Linked DNA regions of Canis lupus familiaris. The protein of the gene in region 2 purifies or fractionates together with the protein of the main gene of each other region. This does not show direct contact. Links are inferred from orthologs where the notes say so. Each region holds a gene or a part of one and is shown on either strand. Other genes may lie near its edges. The genes, in order: DDX6 and LSM14A.

The links.
Region 1: the proteins of LSM14A (region 2) and DDX6 purify together in Homo sapiens (affinity purification with mass spectrometry; 4 studies listed by BioGRID and IntAct, with this or other methods). This does not show direct contact. The link is inferred for Canis lupus familiaris from reciprocal best matches to the Homo sapiens genes LSM14A and DDX6.

The regions. Positions count from the first base shown.
Region 1 is NC_049226.1:15,026,282-15,030,585, reverse strand, and holds the start of DDX6 (probable ATP-dependent RNA helicase DDX6), read right to left. Parts: upstream 2,874-4,304; 5' UTR 2,810-2,873; intron 2,696-2,809; exon of another isoform or gene 2,592-2,695; intron 2,585-2,591; exon of another isoform or gene 2,560-2,584; intron 1,733-2,559; exon of another isoform or gene 1,596-1,732; intron 1-1,595.
Region 2 is NC_049222.1:118,955,185-118,959,526, forward strand, and holds the start of LSM14A (protein LSM14 homolog A), read right to left. Parts: upstream 2,983-4,342; 5' UTR 2,783-2,982; coding exon 2,662-2,782; intron 1-2,661. UniProt on the Homo sapiens protein: Essential for formation of P-bodies, cytoplasmic structures that provide storage sites for translationally inactive mRNAs and protect them from degradation. Acts as a repressor of mRNA translation. May play a role in mitotic spindle assembly.

The DNA.
Region 1 (4,304 bases), on a different chromosome or scaffold from region 2:
CTGAGACCAATCTCAAACATTTTAAACTGTCAGTTCAAAGCAACCCAGAGAAGATTAGGTAGAAAGATATTGTGATTAAATTAGCATTAGCTGTCAAATGGCAATCTCTTCCCTTCAGTTTCCTCCCTGATGAATTCTCTAAAAATCCCTGCCACCTCTAAAAGTCAATGATTCATTACCCTTAATTGCATTACAACTCAATGAAGTATCACACAATTTTATTAATGTAAATCTACATATCTTGGAACAAGGCAAGACCATTCATTTTTTTTTTTTTTTTTTCTATTTCTGACAGCAACTGAGAATTCCTGAAATTGAGCTTTTGACTTAACTTTATGTTTTCTGGGGCAAAAATACACATTTGTGACTTTATGGATTTCAACTACAGAGGCTTAACGTTATGAAGAAAAATATTTTTTTCCCTCTTAAATTTTGCCCTTTAAGACAGTAACCAGGGATGCCTGGGTGGCTCAGCGGTTTAGCGCCTGCCTTCGGCCCAGGGTGTGATCCTGGAGTCCTGGGATCAAGTCCCACATCAGGCTCCCTGCATGGAGCCTGCTTCTCTCTCTACCTATGTCTCTGCCTCTCTGTCTCTCTCATGAATAAATAAAATCTTAAAAAAAAAAAAAAAAAAAAAAGTAACTGAAACAGAGACAGGTCTCCATGTCAAAATCTTTTGCTTGAGAAACAGCCAAGAGAATCTTTAGCTAACTTAATACTAAAAAAAACTATTAGCTAAATCCGTTTTAATAACACTTTCCAAAAAAGTGTATCCTAACTTAAAATATTTGCTGTTATCAAAAAATATCGATAAAAAACACAAAAGGAAACTGTTCTAAAAAAAATCTGTGAAAGCCTAAAACAGACTAGCAACTTTAACCAAATTTTCCAAGAAACCCAGAGTACTAAATAGTTGTTTTAAAAAAGAACTAGTCAACCTCCGTTTTTAATTATTCCCAAAAATCAAATTCTTACTTTGAAAAGTAGTAGGTAAAAACAATTTACAAAGGATGGACAATAAAGTACTGTTAGGTTTGTGCTTTTTTAACTCTTCTATTTCTTACCAAAAAATACACACTAGTTTATTAATTGATGGTGATTTTTTTGTGTGCCAAACACCAAAGATTCCAAAACAATAAATCTTTTCCAAGACAACTGGTTATGACTTTTTAAAAAACTGAATATTTAGTTGCTCAGAAGCAAATCCTGATTACCATATACACAAAGCTGTACATTTCTAAGTCTCTTAGAATCTAATGCCTTACGCAGACCGTGGTTAACAGCCAACCTAATTTCAGTTCAAGGCGGTAAATTGTTCCCTGTATCGACAGGTTTATATTATGATCAACAATATCACGGAGTTCACACAAGACTTGTTTGCAAATCCGTAAGATGAAGAGGGCAACCTCTAAAGATTAAGATAAATTATCGTCCCACGAGCTCTCTCTTAATCTAAGACCTCATCTCCCTAGATCCAAAATAGGACTATTACTCCCTTCTTACTTGAACCGAAACCTGCACTGCAGCTTTATGTCTCAGAGAAGGAAATATTCCTCCTACCCCTTCCCAATTTAGACTTGCAAGTTACATTCTACATTTTTCAAAAATACGAACGAAACGTAGACTAGTTGGGAGGAGCCCCTGGCGGAGTTAATTACAGCACTTCCCAGATTGTGTAGTTAGCAATTGACAGTTTCACACCCAAAAACAGTATCGTCATCTCAGACAAGAGCTTTTGTTTGCAAATGCAGCGCAGTTTCTCTAAGCTTGGTCTGCAAGTTGGAGGGACTGTTTTCTTCTGAGGGGAACGGGGGAGGGGGTGGGAGGGCTGTGGTAGAGAAAAGGGAGTGAAGGATGAGGGGGGACAAGCCAATGATTCGAACCCCGGATTGTGAGGTAATTTCTCGCTCCCCAACACGCCCCCCCCCAAACCACACACTTCAAGTCAGCCAGCCCCCTGTGACCATAAACACAAAAGGGTTGGGGCCCTATCTTCGCAGCTGCGCCACAAGAGCAGGGAACCAACTCCGCGGGCAGGAAACAATAGGGACTACCCCCAGAAGGCCCCAAAGAGAAACCCTTAAGTCAGAAAGCCCCTCCTTTTCCTCCACGACTCGGGGGCTCCATAATCACCCTCTTGTTACCGACCTACGAGGCCTTATTCCAAGCCAGCAGCAGCGGGTCCTCCTCCAAATCGAGCCCTCCGACGCTGCATGTCCCTGCCGCCCCCTATAGGGCCGCCTCGTACCCTATAACCTCCGCCATCCCCCGAAGTCCTTGCCGCCCCTGCGGACCCAGGTCCCCTCGTCCTCCACAAAGCTCCTCCGAGTACTTCGCCCGCTCCCTCTCCGGACCCCGCCGCGCAGGACACCCCCATACTCGACTCCGCTCAGGCGCCCCCCGCCCCACACGGCTGCCGCCCGCCGCCCGCCGCCCGCCTTCTTCCCCGGGACCCGGCCAGGCCTCAGGCCTCCGCCTCAGAGCACCCCCCCCCCCCCGCCGGCCGAGGGGCTCCCCGCGGCCCCGACCGCACCGCTGACCTCGACCCCACCACCTCACCCCACTCCCCGAGGCTCGGGCCCGAGTCCTACCGCCGAGGCCACTCCCGCTCGGCACCCTCGGTCCTTTATTGTTGACTCGAAGCTCCCAAAATGGCGGCGGCTCCTTCCTCCTCGGAAACCTCCGCCCGCCCCCACCCGGCCCCTCGCTTCTGCCGCCGCCTCCTCCTCCCGCCCCCGCCCCCGCCCCGCTCCGGGGGCCGCTCCCGGGCCGCCCGCGCCCGCCGGCTCTCCCGGCCGCCCGGCCCTACCTCCGCCGCTGCCCGCTCTCATGGCGCCGCCGGAGTCGCCGCCCGGGCTGAGCTAACTCGGCTGCTCTGCCCCTCCCCCGCCCGCCCGCCGCCCCCTCCCCCTCCGCTCCCCCTCCCCCTGCCTGTCCGCATGGCGGCGGCCGCGGCTCCTCCTCCACGCAAGATGGCGAGAGCTCCGCCGCCGCCGCCGCCGCAGCCGCCGCCGCCGCGCCTGCCGCGGCGTCACGGCCTCCTCGGCTTCGCGGCCGGCGCGGCGTTGGCCGGGGAACCTCCCCGAGGAGCAAACAGACGGCGGTGCTCTCACACCGACCGGGGCGACGGAGACTCGCAGGGGAGACACGGGTTCCTTTCAGAGTGGGACGGAGGGCTAGCTTTCTCCACAGCTGAGGAGAAACGAGTGGGGACACGGTGGCCGGGGAGAGGCGGCCCTGCAAGTCAAGCGGGGCTTGTGACCAGAGGAGGGGCGCCTTGTTCCCGAGCGAGGACGCGGCGTCCGGGCCGCGCGGCTCGGGGACGGGAGAGCTGACCTGACGTCCCCCGCGGGCCGCGGCAGCCGCTGCAGAGCCGGGGGCCTGCGGAGCCGGGGGCCGCGGCCGAGCCCCTGCGGGCGCGCCTCAGCCGGGAGCGCCTCAGCCGGGAGCGCGCCGCACTAGAGGCCCGGAGGTGCCGGCGCGCGCCGGGTGTGAGGACCGGAAGGGGGGCGACGGCCCCGCTGAGGGGGGGCGGGGGCGCGGGCTGCGACCTCCCCGCCGGGAAGGGAAAGCTGCTGAGGAGTCACTTCTCGTGGAAATAGGAACCAGACGGCGGCCGAGGGCGAGTCTTCCCGGGCCTGACCCCCCGCCCCCGCCCCCCCCCGCCCCCGCCCCGACCGCTGCTTCTCTAGCTCCGTGGCCGCCCGGCGGCCTCCTAACTACTCGTCCTGTCCTGATGGCTGCGCTTCTCCTGGGCAGGAGTGTGGGGAGCGCTGTGTGGCCCCGGGTGAGAGGAAAACTGGAAGCCAGGAAGCTGGTCAGGTCAAGGGAGTGGCGGCCCCCGGGTGTCCCCAGCGGACCGACCGGAAGCGGGACCCCCGCGCTCCCGGCGTCCCCGGCCAGTTCCCCAATTTTTGCCCCAGCTCCCAACTCGGGGCCAATCAGAGAAAGCCAAATCTGTTCCCCAAACCGACCGCTCGGACACGCCCCGCGGCTGGTTAGCCTGCCTCCTGCTCCCTCACGCCGGCAGCCTCCAATCACAGCGAGCCTCGGGACCTCCCTGCGTCCCCGCCGGTCTCCGCCGAACTCGGGAAGGGGCCGGCGGCCTCGCTCAGCGGGCTCCGAGGAAATGGCCTGGTCTCCTTCGGTCGCCTTTGTTTTTCTCCGCGCAGCCAATGGAAAGGTGGTGGAGAAGCAAGAAAAGCCCGTTCTTGCGATTATGAGGGAGGATCCCCCTTGACAGTTTTTAAGATCCTGAACGTGTAGCGTAGCCTGTGCTCTCCCACCCAGATTTTACACCGCCG
Region 2 (4,342 bases):
TGGGTGGTAGTTACAGCATCTTAGTTTAAAAACATTTCATTTTTATCTATGTATCTTTTCAACATGTGTGGTTACTTCACAATAAAAGGGAAAGAACTCTACCCAGAGGGGAAAAAATTAACATCCAGAAGAGAATTCTAAGAATGTCACTTGAGATTAACTCAATTGATAGTTTACAAAGATAACAGAGATCTCTAAATGCATATACATATGGTATTCTAAACTTCATAAACAAACTTTTGGCTTTAATCTGTTAGACTGCCATTCTTCAACCAAATTTTGAAAAACGTGAAATATCAGATATCAAATTACTTCACAAGTCATGTAAATTTTAAAATTTGAAAACCAAACACCCCACTTCTAACTCTGAAATTTGAAATGTCCAGTGTTGACTAGATAGCCATACAGAAGTTTTAGATCAGATGCTAAGTAGAGTAAGGTACGAAAATTTGATAACTACCATTTTTGCAAACACAATTAAATCCCTCAATCTCTATTAAATATTAAATAACTCCTGCTTAAAAAAAAGCATATATCATGTCTGTGGGATTAACTATCAAAGCCATAAGCACAGATATAAATTCAATGATTAAAAAAACTTTTCACTCCTGTGCTTGTATTTATCAAGACATGATACAAGAACAAACTGGTTTGTGAATTCAACTACTACAGACTAATAAAATTGTAGTTTACTGACTCTAGAAGCTGAAAAAAAATGTGTAATGTATAAAATGTATAAAAGAATATAAGAATTCAAAGATTTTTAAAAGACTAAAGTTAGGGACGCCTGGGTGGCTCAGCGGTTTAGTGCCTGCCTTCCGCCCAGGCGCGTTCCTGGAGTCCCGGGATCCAGTTCTGCGTCGGACTCCCTGTGCGGAGCCTGCTTCTCCCTCTGCCTGTGTCTCTGCCTCTCTCTGTCTGTCATGAATAAATAAACAAAATCTTTAAAAAAAAAAAAAAAGGACTAAATTTAATACATAAGAAACCTTAAGAATGTATTAATTTTTGTCATTGTGAGGAGTAAAAAAAAAAGTACAGCCAACTCAATGGTAAGTCATTCAACTGGCAAGACACCTTAAAATTCAGATTAGCTTACAAATACTGTATGTGGGCCTCACTGAGAACTTTAAAAAAGCCTTTTTGAGGGCAGCCCGGGTGCAGCGGTTCAGTGCCTGCCTTCAGCCCAGGGCATGACCCTGGAGTACCGGGATGAGTCCCACGTCGGCCTCCCTGCGTGGAGCCTGCTTTTCCCTCTGCCTGTGTCTCTGCCTCTCTGTGTGTGTGTCTCTCATGAGTAAATAAATAAAATCTTAAAAAAAAAAAAAAAGAAAGTCTTCTTGATAACTTCATAAAGCCATAAAAACTAAGACACTATACAGCTAAATATCTATGGGGCAGTGGAAAAGAAACTTAAGATAAAAAAAAAATTAAGACTCCGTAACTCAGGCATACAATCTGTCCCAACACAAGTGTTATTAAAAAGGACCCCCCAAATGTCACTAAGTACTCGTGTGATGCTGTGAAATAACTTCCCGCTCCGTTATAAATTTGTCTTCTTTTTTTTGCAGACTTAGAAAATTTCTTCCTGGCCCTGGGCCTCTTGTCTCTACCACGGTCTCATTCGTTCCGTCTCTCTACCAGATGTACCTGGAAAGGCTACCTTGGTTATCACCTTGCTCCCCTCGCCTAAGTCATCCCAAACTCGTGAGACCTGAGGAAGCGGGAGCTCAAGTTTACGTTCTTGCCGGTTTTCCGGCGGAGCCAAGGCCCCACCACGTGTGAACGGAAACAAAACCCCACTCAGACGGGGCGACGCTCAGTGAGATCCTTAGGGGCAGGGCCCTTCGGTGCTCCACGCCCCGAACCCGCCGCCGTCCCCGGGACCCGCCGGCAGGGCCCGCGCGGCGCAGCCTTCGGGACGAGGGTGCAACCTGGATCAAGCTCGAACCCGCCTCCGCACCGGGTACCCCGGGCGCACCCCGGCGAGCATTTTTTTTTTTTTTTTTTAAAGACGCGGTTGCACAACGGCCTTTGAGGAGGATTCCGGTTTAGCAGGTAAACACCACGTAAGGCGGACAAGTGGGGCGCGATGTGCCCGAGGGCCCCGAGACCGTCGGCGTCGCGGGGCGAGACCCAAAGTTTTGGCACATCGCCCCCCCCACCCCCCCACACACACTTACTTCACCTGAGGGACGCCGCCAACAAATCGAAATTGAGAACGTGAGAAAATAGGTGCCTCGGAATCAACAAATCTGCAACTAAACTCGAGCTGGGCGGAAGAATTCTTTGAATACTCGGGGCTTTGTTTTGTGGGGAGACGCCAGAACCCCCGAATTTCGGAGTTGGAAGAACACGTCTCTCCGTGTTCTCTGGCCCGTGCTCGGACTTGAGGGCCGCCCCGCCCGCCCCGCCCGCCCCGCTCTCGGTCCTCCAGGTCCCGGATTGAAGGCGCGGACGTCCCCGGGGTGGAAGCCAGGAAGCCCCCGGGGCGCGGGGGGGCGGGGGGGAGGCCGCGGCCCGGCCCCGTGACGCCCGGGCCCGGTCGGAGGGAAGGGAGCGGCCTCCCCGAGGACGGCGGAGGGCGGGGGGGGGGGGGGGGGGGCAGGGGGCCGCGGGCCTACAGCCGGGCGCCGCTCCCCCGCGAGGCCCGCCCCGGCGTACCTTTGGCGAGGGCTACGGTGGAGTTCTCGGTGTCGATGGTGTAGAGGATGCCCTCGTAGCGGATCTCCGCCTTGGAGATAAGGCTGATCTTGCTGCCGATGTAAGGGGTGCCCCCGCTCATGGCGCCGCCGCCGCCGCCGCTCCGGGCCGCTCGCAGAGAGGCAGATCCCGCGCCGCTGTCGCCGCTCCGCAAGCCCGCTCGCTCCGTCGGCGCCTACAGCAGCCGCCTCAGACCCAACATGGCGGCGGCGCCGGCTCCGCTACCCTCCCCCAGCCTCCCGCCCTCAAGCCGCGGCGCGGCGGCGGCGGCGGCGGCAGCGGCGGCGGCGCGGGGCATGCTGGGCAAGGCGAGGCCGCGCTCTCGCGAGACTCAGGCCGGCGGCGGGCGGCTGGGGCCTCCCCGGGCGGCCTCGGGGGTCTCCGCGGCGGCGCCGCCGGGTCGAGTCCCCGGCTGCCGTGCTCGCGCGGCCTGAGAGGCGGCGACTGAGGGAGAGGCGGCGTACCTGGCGGCGCCGGGACTCGGTGGGCGGCGGTGGGGGCGCGCGCGGCGCTCTCGGCCTCCCCCGCGGCCTCCGCCATTTGCAGACCCGTCGCATCTTGTCCTGCGTCCTGCGTCGGCGAATGAGGATCCCTCAGCCTGGAAAGGGGCCCTTCCGCCCCCGAGCTCCCGCCGAGCCCCGTTAGGACCCGGTCCTTTCCCGTTCGAGGCTACTGTGGCCCTCTGGAAGCTCCCCGGGCTCCATCGCAGCATCCCATTACCCAGCCCGTCCCCCCCTCCCCTTCCCCCTCCCCCCTTCTCCCCTTCGCAGCTGCTGGAGCTGGGACTCTGTCCAACACCTCGGGATGCTCTCATCTGGGCTCGTGGCTTTCAGGGCCACTCTACACAGACCAATCCCAGGCATTTGTCTGCTGCTTTGATCAATTCGGAGAACTCTGGACTCAGATCAGCCGTAGACCCCCTCATTCTCTCTAGTTGCACGTTTAATCCGCATCTGATTAACTTTGTGTCTCCAAACCAAGGCTCCCGGTTTTTCCCTCTGAGATTAACCTTCGGCCACTCGGTTCACCACCGCGGGAACTGGTGCTGTTTATCCAACTGCTCATCCTTGGAGTCATCCTGGACTTCTCTCTCACCCCGACATCTGTTCTGATTGCAAATCCTGCCCTCTCCATCGATAATGGGTGACCCGAATCTGATCACTTCTCACCATCTCCATCTCCTGCCTCTCTACAACAAACCCCACGTCCCCTGCCCTTCCCTGCCCGGGGTTACCGCAATCGCCTCCTAAAAGGTCCTTCTACCTCTGTTCTTGCCCCCAGTACTTAACTCTCCACACAGCAGCCGGGGTCCTGCTAAAATCTGTCAGATCATGTCTTTCCTCTACTCAGTACTCCTCTCCCGAGTGATCTCTAGTCACAGAGTGAAAGCCGGACTCCTTACTTAGGCTTACAAAAACATAGACGACTTAACCCCTCGTCACCTCATTTCACCATTCTGTTCTAGCCACCCTTTCTTCACCCAGAACTTTCGCTCTTCATTCAGATCTCAAATGTGACCTCCAGAGATGACTTTCCTTACTGGGGATTAAAACAGGACACCTGCCTGCACCACCATATGCCCTTAGCTTGCTTATGTTTTCTTCATAGCATTTCTCTCTCCCTGATATTATTTGCGTGTGTC